Saccharomyces cerevisiae S288C: one gene and its partners. The main gene of each other region encodes a partner of the protein of the gene in region 4 in a complex. Each region holds a gene or a part of one and is shown on either strand. Other genes may lie near its edges. A codon is read from its position in the direction of its gene.

Region 1 (2,609 bases), on a different chromosome or scaffold from region 4:
ACTTGCTAATTGCAGTCAGCCGTGATGGCAAATTGCCAAGGCTATCTTTGACAGGAGGATTCTCTCATCACCATGCTACGGACGATGTGGAAGATGCGGCTCCTGAAACAAAAGAAGCTGTTCCAGAGAGCCCAAGAGCATCTGGAGAGACTGCAATCCACGAACCCGAACCTGAAGCAGAGCAAGCTGTCGAAGATACTGCTTAGAGCAGCTTGAGATTGTCTTAATCATTCTTTGCTTAACACATTTCAAAACATCAGTTTTCTTCTTTTAATGTCACTAATGAAACTTAATATTTAATAATCTAATTTTAATTTCTTTATGAAATATGCAAAATAAATTATATACACAAACACAATAATTAATAATCTAATCTCATTTTTCCAAAATCAAGAAATGTTCTTACTGCTTCCATGCCTGAATAGTCTAATCGATAGTAGGCCATTTCAATTCTTTTTAGTTATATGGAGACGCAAACACCACTTTATTTTAGCGTACCCTACCAAAATTAAACGATAATATGGTATTTTTATTCTCATTTGTTACACTCTATTCTGTATCACTGGATACATTCGCGGTAACTTGTTTTATAAAGTGAGATGGGATTTATGACCATTAGATGCATATAAAAGCTTCCAAATAATAATAAGATATTGTGACTTTTGGTGAACTAGATACGCTTTGAAATTCTTCATTTGTAATGAAGCAGGATTCACATTCAATATTTTGTAGCTTACAATTGTGAATGTTGCGTTTTCCTACTTTTTCCTTTCATTTTTCAAAGCATCGAGCATTTTTTTCATTTCTTCCAAACTCATCCTTTGCCTTTCAGGATTGATAATACTATTGTGTCTTTCCGTACTTTCTACCAAGTTCAATAACTCGCATATGTTTTCTCTTTGAGATAATAACTGAAATGCTGTTAAATTTTTCAGCGTTACATTGTTGTAAGCTCTTTCAGGATTCATTGAGCTGATTGTGTTGTTCTGTGACATACGATATACTGATACTCTGTTCTAAATAACACAATCCTTTCGTTCTATCATAAAATTCAATGTTATAGGCTCATTTTGTGCATCTTATGTGGCGGATTAATTTTTTTTTTTTCAAAAAATATCTCGCGAAGTGCATGAGTTCTGACTATTTTTTAAATGCGATGATATCATTGATAGGGTGAAGATAGTCTTCAACAAACTTAGTAAGGGGCACCAAAGCGTCATGGACATCTTGAAACTGTCAGATTTTATTGGAAATACTTTAATAGTTTCCCTTACAGAAGATCGTATTTTAGTTGGAAGCTTGGTTGCTGTAGATGCCCAAATGAATTTGCTATTAGATCATGTTGAGGAACGTATGGGCTCCAGTAGTAGAATGATGGGCCTAGTCAGCGTCCCTAGGCGTTCCGTTAAGACCATAATGATTGATAAGCCTGTTCTGCAGGAGCTTACTGCGAATAAAGTTGAATTGATGGCTAATATTGTTTAGCGCATATGGTTCTAATAGTTTCCATAGTAACAATTGCTTGGCAAAAAAGGTCTGGCTTCGAAAGATATATAAACGAATATGAACTGGACTGAACTTAGATATTTTTTTCTGTATTAACTAAAATTTAGCGCAAATAATAACAATATCAACAATATCTGCAAGGAAGAACAATGAGCTGTACCACTGATAAGTTAATACAAAAGTACGACGCCCTTGTTAGGAAAACCACAGAACATAAATTCGCTAAGGAACTATGTGCCGGAACATTGAAGGACCGTAGTTTGTACATCTATTTATCACAAGATCTGCAATTTTTTGAAACTAGCTTAAGGTTGATATGTAAGACGACTTCTTTAGCACCAACTACTCACGCTTTAATAACCTTAGCCAAAAAGATTGGATTTTTTTCTAATGATGAAAACTCATACTTTCATGACTGCTTAGAATTATTGGCACCATCCCTCACCAAGGAAGAAAGAGATAATTTTGACAATAAAGCGATCCCCGGCGTTGATGCGTATATTAATTTCTTAGATGAGCTGAGAAAGGACGCCTCAATTACATGGCCATCCTTAGTAACCAGCTTATGGGTTGCTGAGGAACTCTATTGGAGATGGGCTCGTGATACTCCTAGAGCCCCAGGGTTGCATTGGAAATATCAAAAATGGATTGATTTACATGATGGTGAGCATTTTCAAACTTGGTGTGAATTTCTAAAGGCTGAAGTTGACAAGTTTCCCGTCGAAGAAGTGGAAAGCATATTTGTGAAGGTTTCACAGTTCGAGTTCGAATTTTTTGAATCTTGTTACAACGCCTAATCTCAAGTAGTATATAACACTTACTTATATATATATATGTATATTTTTGCAGAAAAATAAGAGCAATGAACAAGCTGATATGATCATCGTGTTAGACTTTTGTAAAGATCGTTTATATTATATTGAAGACCGGACTGTGAAAGGTAAAATTTCAGTCTATCCAAGAATGTGATTCCGTTCCAGGTTTTAGCAATTGGATCGTACCTCGGTATTCCGAATTGTTCAATTATTGCGCCTGCAGCGATGTTCCCACATATACTAGCAATATCTAAGCTTTTCGTTAGGGCATAAGAAACTGCAAAGCCG
Region 2 (3,903 bases), on a different chromosome or scaffold from region 4:
GGATGGACATTTGACAAAGAAAGCAATTCTGTTGAAGTGAATGTTAAGTCTGAATTCCAAGTTTTAGCAGGTCCAATCAGCGATATCTCCTGGGATTTTGAAGGGCGAAGACTCTGCGTTGTGGGAGAAGGTCGTGATAACTTTGGTGTTTTCATATCCTGGGATTCTGGTAATTCCTTAGGTGAAGTTTCAGGTCACTCACAACGCATCAATGCTTGTCATTTGAAGCAATCTAGACCTATGAGATCTATGACAGTTGGAGATGATGGATCTGTTGTCTTTTATCAAGGACCTCCATTTAAGTTCTCTGCCAGTGACAGAACACACCACAAACAAGGCTCATTTGTCAGGGATGTTGAATTTTCACCTGACAGCGGTGAATTTGTTATTACGGTAGGGTCTGACAGAAAGATTTCTTGCTTTGATGGCAAATCAGGTGAGTTTCTTAAATACATAGAGGATGATCAAGAACCAGTTCAAGGTGGTATATTTGCACTATCGTGGCTTGATTCCCAAAAGTTTGCTACCGTAGGAGCAGACGCTACCATTAGGGTTTGGGACGTCACGACTTCAAAATGCGTTCAAAAATGGACCTTAGACAAGCAACAACTGGGAAATCAACAAGTTGGTGTTGTTGCAACAGGAAACGGAAGGATTATTTCTCTTTCACTGGATGGGACCTTAAACTTCTATGAACTTGGACATGACGAGGTTTTAAAAACCATTAGTGGTCATAACAAGGGTATTACTGCTTTGACAGTCAACCCACTAATCAGTGGGTCATATGATGGTAGGATTATGGAATGGTCTAGCTCTTCCATGCACCAAGATCACTCCAACTTGATTGTATCATTGGATAATAGTAAAGCGCAAGAATACTCCAGTATTTCTTGGGATGATACTTTGAAAGTGAACGGTATTACTAAGCATGAATTTGGATCGCAACCAAAGGTTGCTAGTGCGAACAATGATGGCTTCACTGCAGTACTAACAAATGATGATGATTTGTTGATATTACAGTCTTTTACGGGCGATATAATCAAGAGTGTAAGACTGAACTCACCAGGCTCTGCCGTTAGCTTGAGCCAAAATTACGTTGCAGTTGGTTTGGAAGAAGGTAATACTATTCAGGTATTCAAATTATCAGATTTGGAAGTCAGTTTTGATTTAAAAACACCTCTTCGCGCAAAACCCTCGTACATATCAATTTCGCCATCTGAAACATACATCGCTGCTGGAGATGTTATGGGCAAGATATTGCTATATGATTTACAATCAAGAGAAGTGAAAACTTCAAGATGGGCTTTCCACACCAGTAAAATCAACGCCATTTCATGGAAACCTGCTGAAAAGGGAGCAAACGAAGAGGAAATTGAAGAGGACTTAGTTGCCACTGGTTCTTTAGACACCAATATTTTTATTTACTCCGTCAAAAGACCTATGAAAATCATTAAGGCGTTGAATGCTCACAAGGACGGTGTTAACAACCTTTTATGGGAAACACCATCTACCTTGGTTAGTTCTGGTGCGGACGCTTGCATTAAAAGGTGGAATGTTGTCCTCGAGTGAGATAAGAATATAAAGTAAACAATTACGTAACCTTAGAAAAATAGATATAAAAAAGTTTTACACTGTTTTTACCACAGTCCATATAAACTTGTAATTATTACCCGAATGCTTTGATTACTTCGCTCTTTTAAAAAAAAACCCGTTCGAACTATTAAACATGTTACTGTGAGCAGACAAAAATATTGCAAGAAAACAGCTTTATAAAGTTTAAGCATTACTGAATACAGTACATTTACTTTTGAAGAAGGAAATACCATCTAGCAGAAATGTCAGATTCAGAGGGAGGTCTAGCTTCCGAAGTTGAACATGAGAAGCGGTCAAGATCTACTAGCAACAGACCCAATTATGCAATTGATACTGAGGATTTAGATATTGATGAAAATGATGAGAATGAAGATGATGATTACAGAGAAGAAGAAGCCAATGAGGGAGTGAATGAAGAAGAAATAAGTGATGAGGAGGAACAGATAAATAAAAGCGGAAGAAACAAAAGGAGGCACGTGGACGAAGAAGAGGATTTGTCAGAGGATAAAGGCGTTACTAGATCTAGAAACCGTTCAAAGTTCAAAAAACCAGTATTTCCCGGAATCGATGATGCTGAGGAGAACTTAAATCCTTTGAAAGTGGTCAATGAAGAATATGTTCTACCAGATGATCCTGAAGGTGAGACGAAGATAACTGCAGATGGTGATCTATTAGGAGGCAGAGAATTTTTAGTGCGCACCTTCACATTAACTGAGAAGGGGAATCGAAAGTTTATGCTGGCCACCGAACCGGCTAGGATAGTGGGTTTTAGAGATTCATATTTATTTTTTCAAACTCACCCCAACCTTTATAAGTTCATTCTGAATCAAACTCAAAAGAACGACTTGATAGACCGTGGCGTTTTACCTTATTCATATAGAAATAGACAAATCGCTCTAGTCACCGCTAGAGGCGTGTTTAAAGAATTTGGTGCTAAAATCATTCGTGGCGGCAAACATATAACCGATGATTATTATGCTTCTGAATTAAGAACAAAGGGAAATGTAATTGAAGGAAAACTTGCTGGTGATCCTATTGATAAATCCGCAAGGGCCTTAGAAACCATGATGTATCCTGCTTCCGAGAATGGCATAAACCCTGCAAAAAACCAGGTGGAATTCTTTGAACACAGGCCACATGGTCACATGAGTAATTCTAATATTATTGCATCAGGTAGTAAGCTGAGCTCTACAAATTGGCTCTATCAGCATTCTGCTGCGTGTAGTAGATTTAATAGCGATTTGTTTTATGATAGAGTGAAGGTTCTTCTTGTAGATCAACAAGGCTTGAGAGATGCATACACAAATATATTACACATACCAGAATCCACACAGTCAACCACTGTTTTAGGATGGAGGAGATCAAAAAACGATAGTCCCAGCGACACAAGCATTGTGTATGAGACCGTTATACACGATAACGATTTGAATAAACCGAAAACGGGACTGTCGGAAATCCCGAAAGAGATCTATGAAGACGTTGTTGATGAAGACGTTTTAAGGGCTATCACCGAACAACAAAATTTCGAAAAATGCAACGAATATATTTAGTATACTCAATGTAACAATATAACAAATTTTTATCTTCAAATCAAGGTAAAAAAATTCATATATTCTCACTTTCTTTTTCTTTTCTTGACTATTCATCTACATATGCATTTCACGCGTAAATAGGTTGATCTACAAACTTTGAATGAATTTTTCCATTGGCTCGTTGCCATTTACCAACGAAATGGTTTTTTTCACTGTTGCATTTGGATGTAGCAAGCTTTCCACAATAAAAGAAGCTACATCCTCCCTGTTAATGGAGTAGTTAACAGAAGCCTTCTCTTCTAATTTGTCAAGGGGTTGCAAAAGACCGGTACCTTTATTTAGTTCCAACGATCCAGGCTGTAAAATAGTGTAATCCAAATTAGAGTTTCTAACCTCACGATCAGCAGATCTCTTTGCAATATAGTATTCACGCAAACCCTTAATGTTATACCAAAAATCTCTATCCTCCGCCTTGAGCGCTGAAACAACAACGAACCTTTTGATACCAGCCTTTTCGCATGCTTCAACAACTTTGATACAGCCATCCAGATCAACCGTGAAAATTCTTTCCATTCCTTTACCACCCGCACCGGCGCTAAAGACCACGGCATCATAAGCCTTAATAGCGTCTGTGATCTCACTAACGGACGCGTTTTCTATATCTGTCAAACTAGCATCAACACCTACTTCATTCTTGAAATAATTGACTTGATCCTGTGTTCTAACAATCGCTAATGGTGTTGAGAAACTATCGTTGGCCTTCAATTGGTTTATCAAT
Region 3 (5,510 bases), on a different chromosome or scaffold from region 4:
GGACTTATTGTGGGAAACCTGGCTGTTGTCACTGCATTTTGCATTTTTAGCATACCCTGCAGTTTATTCTGTATTTAATTGTGATTTCAAAGTGGGATTATGGAAGAAGTATTTTATCTTTATCGTTGTAGGGGGTTGGATTAGTTGTGTTGTCATTCCTTTGGATTGGGATAGAGATTGGCAGAATTGGCCAATTCCTATTGTTGTTGGAGGTTATTTGGGCGCTTTGGTGGGCTATACTATCGGTGCCTATATATAATATCGGTAATTTAAAAATTTGTATATAAAAAAATATAAGTATGATAGAGGTAACATAAACTGGTCCTATGCACAATTGAAAAATCTATGACAAAAACTAAATGATCTTTATACCAAACCCACCTATATGCTATTTGTACCATCTTAAAAGAAGGTAATAACTTCCATACAGATAAATAGCTAACAACATTAAATATCTCCCACTCTCCTCATTCTTTTCTTTTCATAATTTCCTTTTTCTGATTTATTCATTCTATATAAAAAAATAATACAAATCCTCAGATTAAATAATAAATACTATAAAAGTCTCAACTTCTTCTTTAATTTGTTTGAGTCGCTTTAGCTACGAATAGCCTCAAAAACTTCGTTGAAATTCTCCTTTGTTAAACCGAAAGTATCCGAATTTGCGTCGCTATCAACAGGAGCTGCTGCGCCTAAAACTCCATTAGAAACTGTGCTATTTTTCCTCTGTTCATAAAAATCCGTTTTTATCAGAGATTCTGAAATTTTACTCAACTCGTGATTTAATTTAATCAACTGCTCTGCAGATATGCCAGAAAATCCGTTATTAATGGAATAATTTGAATCGGCGCTAGTCGTTACCTTATTCTCCTCAAGATTTTTGATATACTTGGAGATTGTCTTAATTTTAATAATCAGATTTTCGATGAGTTTATTTTGCTTTTTACAATTCTTGGTATAATCACTTAACAACATTGCAATTTTGTTGATAATTAAATGAATAACATTTTTATTCTTTATTCTCTTACTATTGTCGTTATTACTATGAATATCTGTTTGCTCACTGATTTCATTAGCATCATTCGTCCTCTTTGAAGAATCAAAAGACCTTTGATAGAGCGCCAAAAGCATTAAAACTAAAGTTTGCAGAACCACAATAGATTTATTGATGAATGTGAATTCATGACCAGCAAATTTAATATTGGCTAAGTTCGAGAAAACAAAGAACAAGGTCTCCCTCGACAATTCCAAAAAGTCTTCCAAAATTTCGTTAAATTTAGCATAATTTTTCAATGTTTCAAATTGCAATAAGAGGTAAAAGTTCAAATATAACATTGAATTCCTGTAGATTAGAGAATCCATGATATTATTAATTATTGAAGGAGTCGTTAAACATCCTTGGCTGACCTCGATATTCTTATTTTTCAAAAGCTTGATTAACTGTATAATTTTATCAATGGATAGTTGTTGATCTTTACTTTGCAAATATTTCATCAAGTTTACTTCAAAATCAATCAATTCAAAATCGTTGTTCAACAAAGGATCAATAATTGGGGTAGAATTTGTGAAAGGTTCAGACATTAGCAACGGCAATTGACCTAAGAAAAGGTGTCTCCAGCAGTAGTTCTTAAATATGAAATTCCAGGTCAAAATATGAGATTGATTTTGAGTTTCATGATTTAACGATAGTAAACATGCCATATGCATATCTTCGTCGTAATCAATTACGAAAGAGGACGATGACGACGTGTCCATCACAAATTGGTAATATTTCCACAAAGAAATAAACCGCAGGGTCTCTATATTACACATTGACCTTTTTTCAATTTCAAATCTAAGCGTTGTTAAATTAGACTTCAACAAAGGCAAGTAGTTGAATAACACATTGAATAATTGCAAGTGTTCATCATCTCTAAGAGGAATCAAAACCGTAGAATTCAACGATTCAAAAAGAATCAGGAGACAGAGAGTAATAAATCCTAGATTTAGTAGCTGATCATTGGTCACACTAAAAACTTGAAAAATAGTTTCAAAATCTTTAGAATTTGGCTTATTAATGGTGTTAGAAGGAAAAAGCTGCTCAACTATGGGTAATAGTCTCTTTGGTTTTAATATTGGAAGTATTGAATTCGTTTCCGTTATCGTGGATAAGTATTTGTTGATAAGGGTCTGTGTTATCGATTGTGAAGGAAACTTTAATATTTGAGATATGCCACTGTTGCGCTCAATACTGTTACGGCTTGCTACCAAATCGTGCAAAGGTCCATTAAATTGCGTTTCAATTAATATATTCAAGTCATTGAAGAATTTGAATAGGAAAGGATCACGTTCAATCAAATACTGAATCTGGAAGATAGAACTTTTATTTATATTTTTTGGTAACAGCCATAATCTGTTTCTACCTTCTTCTGAAATAGCAGAATTAAACACATTAAAAACTTTATTAGTATCCAAAAATTGAGGATCTAAATCCTTAAATTCATTAAGATGAGGTCTTCTTTCACTCTCTGGAATTGGCTTACCGTCCCCGTCCGTAACGCCGTCTTCACTCAGTTTTCTTTTCTTAATTGTCAAAAACTCCTCTTGGTTTCTATTGGAGTGTGAAGACTGCATTTGCGCTGAGGAATCCTGCTTGAGATCAAGATTTACTCCCGTAATTTTCTTACCTGTAATTTCTTGCAATTCCAGTAGTCTGCCTTTCAAGAAATTCATTTCATGATTGATGATTTCATCTTGTGTGTAAGGAGAGGTTAGCATATGAAAAATTGCAGGGCCTTGAACCCAATTGAGTGGAGTAGAAGATTCGTTTGCAGAAGTGACTGGCTTACTTTCCAAGGAAGGCACTGATTTTGGAATATATTGAGTGTGTTGTTGATTCAAGGTTGCATTTGCCGCAGATGATCTATTATTAAGTTGATTTTGAGCATTGAGCAGTTGCAGACGCGTGTTGTATTCTCTTATTTGCTCCAAAGAAGCCAGTTCTGGATTTTTCTGCAAAAGTGCAGCAGTTTCCTTGGAGACACGACGAGAAGCGTAATAAGAGTTTAAGTACGGACCGTTGGCTACTTGGCGTGTATTGGAAGAGGAAGAACTAGAGGGAACGTATTGTCCGGGAACGTCCGGATAAAAGCAGTCCATTTTATTATGCTTCATACAGTTCCCACAAATCGGCTTAACACGATCGCAGCCTATCTTCCTCTTACGGCACTGCACGCATGCAGGCGGTTTTTTCATTTTTCTACCACGAATATCCATCGTTGTTTTTTGGTTCTGAAATGCTATTTTTGTAGATAAGAGCTTAAGAAAATATCACAGAAACCTCGATTTTAAATATCTGCGTAGTATGGGGCAATTGCAGCAGAGCACCAATGACTTTGGTTTGAAAGCCGTGAGTTTTGATGAAATAATCTAATGTAAGCAGCTAATATATCTTCTCGGGCGAAAACGGGAAAGTGGTCTTACAAGCGTCTAACGGGCCGAATGAATATTGGTGAACTATGGCTATTTGCGAGAAGGTATAGCAGTGGAAGTGTCCAGAAAGCAGTATGTTCCTAATAATAAAGGTAGTTCTTGGTCTGTGTGATCCCAGCTGGTCAACAAGACCCACGTTGGTCAATTGAAATACTCTTGTGAAGTTGTGCCAGAAAAGGGCCATAGGGTAACATACTCGTTCTATGTGATAATCAACTGTTATAAGCACTATATAGTTACATAGCTGGCCTATACATCTCCTGAATAGTGATGCAGTTTAGAGTTCATCGTGGGCTGCTTCGCTAGCTTCCGCTTTGATCTCTTCCTGTAGCTTGGCGGCGTCTTTATTGTCCAAAGGAACAGTTTCCAGTTCACCACTTTCCACAATAATAACTTCCTTTACAGGCATATTTCTACTGTCGGTCTTAACGTTTTCAATGTAGTGAACTACGTCCATACCATCCAAGACTTCTCCAAAGACAACGTGCTTACCGTCCAACCATGGGCATGGGACGGTGGTGATGAAAAATTGGGATCCGTTGGTGTTTTTACCACGATTGGCCATAGACAATCTGCCTGGTTTGTCATGTTTGACATCAAAATTCTCATCTTTGAACGTGTTTCCGAAGATAGACTTACCCCCAATACCTGATCTGTGAGTGAAATCGCCACCTTGAATCATGAAGTTAGGAATAACGCGATGGAAGATAGAGTTCAAATAACCCATCTTAGGGTCCCTGGAAATGGTCAACTGGTAAAAGTTTTCAACGGTTTGGGGTGTGGTGAGACCATACAATCCCATAACAATTCTACCAATTTGTTTATCACCGTGATTAATGTCAAAGTAGACCTTGTGTGTGATCTCAGGATCTTCTGCCGTGTCCTCTTTCGCAAAAATGGCTGTTGTGAAGAGACAAGCAAATAAGGTAATAAAGGAAAAAAATTGAAGCTTCATAATTGCGGATATCGCTGTGCCTTTTGTTTATTGAATTGAAAGTAACCTTTACTGTTGAGTCTCCTCGAGGAAAGTAGTAAGGATGGTTTCATCTTTTTTTTCCTCTGCTAAAAGGGATTCGCTGCGAAACGAAAATTAACTTCCCTACTATTTTTTATATCGTAAGTATGAATCTATTATTTATTGAACTATAACCATTGTGTTAAACCAGGATCAGAAGATACAAATTCTTCTAGTCTGGCTTGAAGATCCTCAGCTTCTTTTTTCATTTCGGTTAAAGCTCGAACCTTCCTTTGACTGTCTGGCTTCAAGACATTAGGACCTTGTGAGAGTTCATCCCCGTCTACAGTGGCCGATGTAGAGTTATTTTTTCTTGCTTGCCTACCACCAACACCCAAATATTCGTCTCTTCTTCCTTGCCAATCAGTCAAAGTCCCATTACCATCCCAATGATCTAATTTATCGTATATTAAATCCCCTACATTGTTTATTTTATAACGTGGAATAATGTGTGTATGCAAGTGGGGTACCGACTGTCCGGCCTCAGGTCCATCTTGGATGGCAACGTTGATAGAGTCAGCCTTATATTGCCACTTAATAAATCTATGTATTAACTGTAAAGTCTTGAAATAATCTTGAGATTCAGGCATGGTCAGATCTGATAAGTTTAAAACCGTAGTTCTCAGTGGAACGATCAGTACATGTCCGGGTACAATTGGTTTCAAGTTTACCAATGCATACGTATATTTTGACTTCTGTAAAGAAGCAGAGATTATAAGGTCTCCATATAGTTAGTAACGCAATGGTGCGAATGGGGTACAAAAAAACATATGAGAGTGCATACATAGAAAACTTGTTCAGTTACAAGAAACTTGCTGAAATATATTGGCTTATTCATGCTTTTAGGTTTCTTTGTTTTGCTTAAGATCATTCTGAGCCCAAGATAGATCAATGGAGCTTCCTTTTTTTCTTCGCTTCTTACAATTGAGCAGAAAAGAAGATTCGACCATATCTTGAGAAACGTATAAACCAGGAAAATTACACATTCTAATTGGTGTCAATGGCAAAATATATGCAAGTTTGC
Region 4 (5,322 bases):
TGCCTATGTGGATCCGGCAAGAAGACAAATCCTTTTCAAGTATCCTATGTATATGCAACTGGAGGAGGAATTAATGAAGTTAGATGGTACTGAATACGTATTGAGCAGCGTAAGAGAGCCTGACTTCTGGGTTATCAGGAAGCAAAGACGAACAAACAATTCTGGTGTGGGAAGCGCTAAGGGACCAGAGATTATTCCATTGCAAGACTACTACATAATTGGTGCAAACATTTACCAATCGCCAACAATTTTTAAAATTGTGCAAAGTAGGCTGATGTCCACGAGCTACCATCTAAATAGCACATTGGAGAGCTTGTATGACTTGATTGAGTTTCAACCTTCCCAAGGAGTACACTATAAAGTACCTACGGACACTAGCACGACTGCAACGGCTGCCACCAACGGGAACAACGCTGGAGGGGGCAGTAACAAGAGCAGTGTACGACCTACCGGCGGTGCCAATATGGCGACTGTTCCCTCAACCACAAATGTCAACATGACAGTCAACACTATGGGTACAGGAGGACAAACTATAGACAACGGTACCGGTCGTACTGGCAACGGTAACATGGGTATAACTACAGAGATGTTGGACAAATTAATGGTCACAAGCATTCGATCCACCCCAAACTACATATGAGAACTGCCATGGCAATTGCATATATCTTTGTACTATATTATAAAACCCCGCGAAATCAACTTTTCAGTTTTCTTCAAAAATCGATGTACCCATCATAAGAAGTTCCCCCAAAAGGAAAGAAATGAGAGGAAAAAGACACGAAGGGAAAACAAAATGAAATTCAGTGGCTTGTGGTGTTGGTTGTTATTATTCCTTAGCGTTAATGTTATTGCATCTGATGTGGGTGAGTTGATTGATCAGGACGACGAAGTAATTACACAAAAGGTGTTTTTCGATATTGAACATGGTGAAGAGAAAGTTGGCAGAATCGTTATTGGGTTGTACGGAAAGGTATGTCCTAAGACGGCGAAGAACTTCTACAAGTTAAGCACCACCACTAATTCCAAAAAGGGGTTCATCGGGTCCACTTTCCATAGGGTGATTCCCAACTTCATGGTACAGGGAGGGGACTTCACAGACGGCACTGGCGTTGGTGGCAAATCCATCTATGGAGATACTTTCCCTGACGAAAACTTTACTTTGAAGCATGATCGCAAGGGCAGACTATCGATGGCTAATCGTGGTAAAGATACCAATGGATCTCAGTTCTTCATCACCACTACGGAAGAAGCGTCGTGGCTCGATGGAAAGCATGTGGTATTTGGACAGGTTGTGGACGGCATGGATGTGGTGAACTACATACAGCACGTGTCCAGAGATGCGAATGACAAACCTCTCGAGGCGGTCAAGATCGCAAAATGCGGTGAGTGGACGCCTGAGCTCTCTTCTTGAGTATATGCAATATTTCATACTATATACATAGATATCAATTTCAGTATGTATAGTTAAAGGTAAATTAACTAGAGAACGTGGGAACAGTTCCGCACTGTGACCACCGGAACGTACGTCTGGTTAGCGCAGCATTAGTCCCAGTTACATCCGATTCAAAATGCAACAGCAAGTATTAATTGGGGAAATCATATCATTTTGAATATAACCTTGGCGTCCTACTAAGGATGGTTATACATCCTAGCTCGTGTAGTGTGATATTTTGCAGGAATGATGCAAAGAGAGGAAGAACAAGAAGAGAGTTGTTGTTTTTAATGTATCTTAGCAATTTATGAGAGGAGCATTGTCGTTGTCTGCTGTGACTAGTGCGTAGCTTTGCCGTTTGTTTTTAATCATGATGGACATGCAAGTGAGAAAAGTGAGGAAGCCGCCTGCTTGCACCCAATGCAGGAAGAGAAAGATCGGGTGCGACAGGGCAAAACCGATATGTGGGAATTGCGTCAAGTATAACAAGCCGGACTGTTTTTATCCAGATGGACCTGGTAAGATGGTCGCTGTGCCCTCTGCGTCCGGGATGTCCACGCACGGCAATGGCCAAGGTTCCAACCATTTTAGTCAGGGAAACGGTGTAAATCAGAAAAACGTAATGATTCAAACGCAGTATCCGATTATGCAAACGTCGATAGAGGCATTCAACTTCTCGTTCAACCCCTCTGTGGATACTGCGATGCAGTGGACCAAGGCCGCTAGCTACCAGAATAATAACACCAATAATAATACTGCTCCTCGTCAGAATAGTAGTACCGTTAGTAGTAATGTTCATGGAAACACTATTGTGAGAAGCGATAGTCCAGATGTGCCCTCCATGGATCAGATTAGAGAATATAACACACGATTACAACTGGTTAACGCTCAAAGTTTTGACTATACAGATAACCCATACTCTTTTAATGTTGGTATCAATCAAGACTCGGCCGTTTTCGATCTAATGACTTCTCCGTTTACTCAAGAGGAAGTATTAATCAAGGAGATAGACTTTTTAAAAAACAAATTGCTTGATTTACAAAGCTTGCAACTGAAAAGTTTGAAAGAAAAATCGAATTTAAATGCCGACAATACCACGGCAAACAAAATTAACAAAACAGGTGAGAATTCTAAGAAAGGCAAGGTTGACGGTAAAAGAGCCGGATTTGATCATCAGACTTCAAGGACTTCTCAGTCCTCACAAAAATACTTTACAGCGCTCACAATAACAGATGTGCAAAGTTTAGTCCAAGTGAAACCGTTGAAGGATACCCCCAACTACCTTTTCACTAAAAACTTCATCATTTTTAGAGATCATTATCTTTTCAAGTTCTATAATATTTTGCACGATATCTGCCATATTAATCAGTTCAAAGTAAGTCCTCCTAACAATAAAAATCACCAACAATATATGGAAGTTTGCAAAGTTAACTTCCCACCAAAAGCAATAATTATTGAGACACTAAACTCTGAATCCCTTAACAATCTGAATATTGAAGAATTTTTGCCAATCTTTGACAAAACCCTCTTACTAGAATTTGTTCATAACTCTTTTCCAAATGGTGATACCTGTCCTTCATTCTCAACGGTCGATCTTCCTTTATCTCAACTGACCAAACTAGGCGAATTAACTGTGCTTCTACTGTTGTTAAACGATTCAATGACCCTATTCAATAAGCAGGCTATTAATAACCATGTTTCGGCATTAATGAATAATTTGAGGTTGATTCGAAGCCAAATCACATTGATAAACCTGGAATATTATGACCAAGAGACAATCAAATTTATTGCCATCACAAAATTTTATGAATCTCTGTACATGCATGATGATCATAAATCAAGTTTAGACGAAGATTTGAGCTGTCTGTTAAGCTTCCAGATAAAAGATTTCAAGTTATTCCATTTTTTGAAAAAAATGTATTACTCAAGACATTCGCTTCTAGGTCAGTCTTCATTCATGGTACCCGCTGCTGAAAACCTATCTCCGATACCTGCCTCTATTGATACGAACGACATTCCTTTAATTGCTAACGATTTAAAATTACTGGAAACGCAAGCAAAATTGATAAATATTCTGCAAGGTGTTCCTTTCTACTTGCCAGTAAATTTAACCAAAATTGAAAGTCTGTTAGAAACCTTGACTATGGGCGTGAGTAATACAGTAGACTTATATTTTCATGACAACGAAGTCAGAAAAGAATGGAAAGACACTTTAAATTTTATCAATACCATTGTTTATACAAATTTTTTCCTTTTTGTTCAAAACGAATCCTCTTTGTCCATGGCAGTTCAACATTCTTCTAACAACAATAAGACCTCGAACTCTGAAAGATGTGCAAAGGATCTGATGAAAATTATTTCTAATATGCACATTTTTTACTCAATAACATTTAATTTTATCTTCCCCATAAAGTCGATAAAGTCATTTTCAAGCGGCAATAATCGCTTTCATTCTAATGGTAAAGAATTTTTATTCGCAAATCATTTTATTGAAATCTTACAGAATTTTATAGCAATCACATTTGCTATTTTCCAACGTTGTGAAGTAATATTATATGACGAATTTTACAAAAATCTTTCAAATGAGGAGATTAATGTTCAATTGCTATTGATTCATGACAAGATTTTGGAAATTTTAAAAAAAATAGAAATTATCGTATCCTTTTTACGAGATGAAATGAATAGCAACGGAAGTTTCAAATCTATTAAAGGTTTCAACAAGGTTTTGAATCTGATTAAATATATGCTGAGATTTAGCAAGAAAAAACAAAATTTTGCGAGAAACTCTGATAACAATAATGTTACAGATTATAGTCAGTCGGCGAAGAACAAAAATGTTCTCTTGAAATTCCCCGTTAGTGAACTGAACAGAATCTATTTAAAATTTAAGGAGATTTCAGATTTTTTAATGGAAAGAGAAGTTGTCCAAAGGAGTATAATTATTGACAAGGATTTGGAATCTGATAATCTGGGTATTACTACGGCAAACTTCAACGATTTCTATGATGCATTTTATAATTAGTAAGCCGATCCCATTACCGACATTTGGGCGCTATACGTGCATATGTTCATGTATGTATCTGTATTTAAAACACTTTTGTATTATTTTTCCTCATATATGTGTATAGGTTTATACGGATGATTTAATTATTACTTCACCACCCTTTATTTCAGGCTGATATCTTAGCCTTGTTACTAGTTAGAAAAAGACATTTTTGCTGTCAGTCACTGTCAAGAGATTCTTTTGCTGGCATTTCTTCTAGAAGCAAAAAGAGCGATGCGTCTTTTCCGCTGAACCGTTCCAGCAAAAAAGACTACCAACGCAATATGGATTGTCAGAATCATATAAAAGAGAAGCAAATAACTCCTTGTCTTGTATCAATTGCATTATAATATCTTCTTGTTAGTGCAATATCATATAGAAGTCATCGAAATAGATATTAAGAAAAACAAACTGTACAATCAATCAATCAATCATCACATAAAATGTTCAGCGAATTAATTAACTTCCAAAATGAAGGTCATGAGTGCCAATGCCAATGTGGTAGCTGCAAAAATAATGAACAATGCCAAAAATCATGTAGCTGCCCAACGGGGTGTAACAGCGACGACAAATGCCCCTGCGGTAACAAGTCTGAAGAAACCAAGAAGTCATGCTGCTCTGGGAAATGAAACGAATAGTCTTTAATATATTCATCTAACTATTTGCTGTTTTTAATTTTTAAAAGGAGAAGGAAGTTTAATCGACGATTCTACTCAGTTTGAGTACACTTATGTATTTTGTTTAGATACTTTGTTAATTTATAGGTATACGTTAATAATTAAGAAAAGGAAATAAAGTATCTCCATATGTCGCCCCAAGAATAAAATATTATTACCAAATTCTAGTT

What was found.
Region 1: RSC30 (region 4) and HTL1 share a complex: the UniProt entries of both Saccharomyces cerevisiae proteins name them as parts of the fungal-specific module (HTL1-LDB7-NPL6-RSC3-RSC30) within the RSC complex.
Region 2: RSC30 (region 4) and NPL6 share a complex: the UniProt entries of both Saccharomyces cerevisiae proteins name them as parts of the fungal-specific module (HTL1-LDB7-NPL6-RSC3-RSC30) within the RSC complex.
Region 3: the proteins of RSC30 (region 4) and RSC3 are in contact, whole or in part, in a cryo-EM structure (PDB 6K15), measured with the Saccharomyces cerevisiae proteins. Residues at the interface, in NP_011923.2 of Saccharomyces cerevisiae: Ala194 (codon at 2,382), Val195 (codon at 2,385), Phe196 (codon at 2,388), Asp197 (codon at 2,391), Leu198 (codon at 2,394), Met199 (codon at 2,397), Thr200 (codon at 2,400), Ser201 (codon at 2,403), Pro202 (codon at 2,406), Phe203 (codon at 2,409), Thr204 (codon at 2,412), Gln205 (codon at 2,415), Val208 (codon at 2,424), Leu209 (codon at 2,427), Glu212 (codon at 2,436), Ile213 (codon at 2,439), Leu216 (codon at 2,448), Lys217 (codon at 2,451), Lys219 (codon at 2,457), Leu220 (codon at 2,460), Leu223 (codon at 2,469), Gln224 (codon at 2,472); in NP_010589.3 of Saccharomyces cerevisiae: Pro155 (codon at 2,793), Leu156 (codon at 2,790), Asn157 (codon at 2,787), Trp158 (codon at 2,784), Val159 (codon at 2,781), Gln160 (codon at 2,778), Gly161 (codon at 2,775), Pro162 (codon at 2,772), Ala163 (codon at 2,769), Ile164 (codon at 2,766), Phe165 (codon at 2,763), His166 (codon at 2,760), Glu181 (codon at 2,715), Met182 (codon at 2,712), Leu185 (codon at 2,703), Arg188 (codon at 2,694), Leu189 (codon at 2,691), Leu192 (codon at 2,682), Ile195 (codon at 2,673), Thr196 (codon at 2,670).

What each region holds. Positions count from the first base shown.
Region 1 is NC_001135.5:153,706-156,314, reverse strand, and holds HTL1 (Htl1p), read right to left. Parts: upstream 996-2,609; coding exon 759-995; downstream 1-758. Other genes in the region: HSP30 (Hsp30p), read left to right, coding at 1-206; MAK31 (Mak31p), read left to right, coding at 1,219-1,485; PET18 (Pet18p), read left to right, coding at 1,656-2,303; MAK32 (Mak32p), read right to left, coding at 2,387-2,609. UniProt on the Saccharomyces cerevisiae protein: Required for cell cycle progression through G2/M transition at temperatures higher than 33 degrees Celsius. Component of the chromatin structure-remodeling complex (RSC), which is involved in transcription regulation and nucleosome positioning.
Region 2 is NC_001145.3:449,298-453,200, reverse strand, and holds NPL6 (Npl6p), read left to right. Parts: upstream 1-1,835; coding exon 1,836-3,143; downstream 3,144-3,903. Other genes in the region: AIP1 (Aip1p), read left to right, coding at 1-1,569; YMR090W (uncharacterized protein), read right to left, coding at 3,273-3,903. UniProt on the Saccharomyces cerevisiae protein: Component of the chromatin structure remodeling complex (RSC), which is involved in transcription regulation and nucleosome positioning. RSC is responsible for the transfer of a histone octamer from a nucleosome core particle to naked DNA.
Region 3 is NC_001136.10:1,068,132-1,073,641, forward strand, and holds RSC3 (Rsc3p), read right to left. Parts: upstream 3,256-5,510; coding exon 598-3,255; downstream 1-597. Other genes in the region: mannose-ethanolamine phosphotransferase GPI11, read left to right, coding at 1-259; peptidylprolyl isomerase family protein CPR5, read right to left, coding at 3,749-4,426; HNT2 (bis(5'-adenosyl)-triphosphatase), read right to left, coding at 4,615-5,181, 5,271-5,357. UniProt on the Saccharomyces cerevisiae protein: Component of the chromatin structure-remodeling complex (RSC), which is involved in transcription regulation and nucleosome positioning. RSC is responsible for the transfer of a histone octamer from a nucleosome core particle to naked DNA.
Region 4 is NC_001140.6:214,315-219,636, reverse strand, and holds RSC30 (Rsc30p), read left to right. Parts: upstream 1-1,802; coding exon 1,803-4,454; downstream 4,455-5,322. Other genes in the region: mediator complex subunit MED6, read left to right, coding at 1-640; peptidylprolyl isomerase CPR2, read left to right, coding at 794-1,411; metallothionein CUP1-2, read left to right, coding at 4,919-5,104; YHR054C-B (uncharacterized protein), read left to right, coding at 4,947-5,120. UniProt on the Saccharomyces cerevisiae protein: Component of the chromatin structure-remodeling complex (RSC), which is involved in transcription regulation and nucleosome positioning. RSC is responsible for the transfer of a histone octamer from a nucleosome core particle to naked DNA.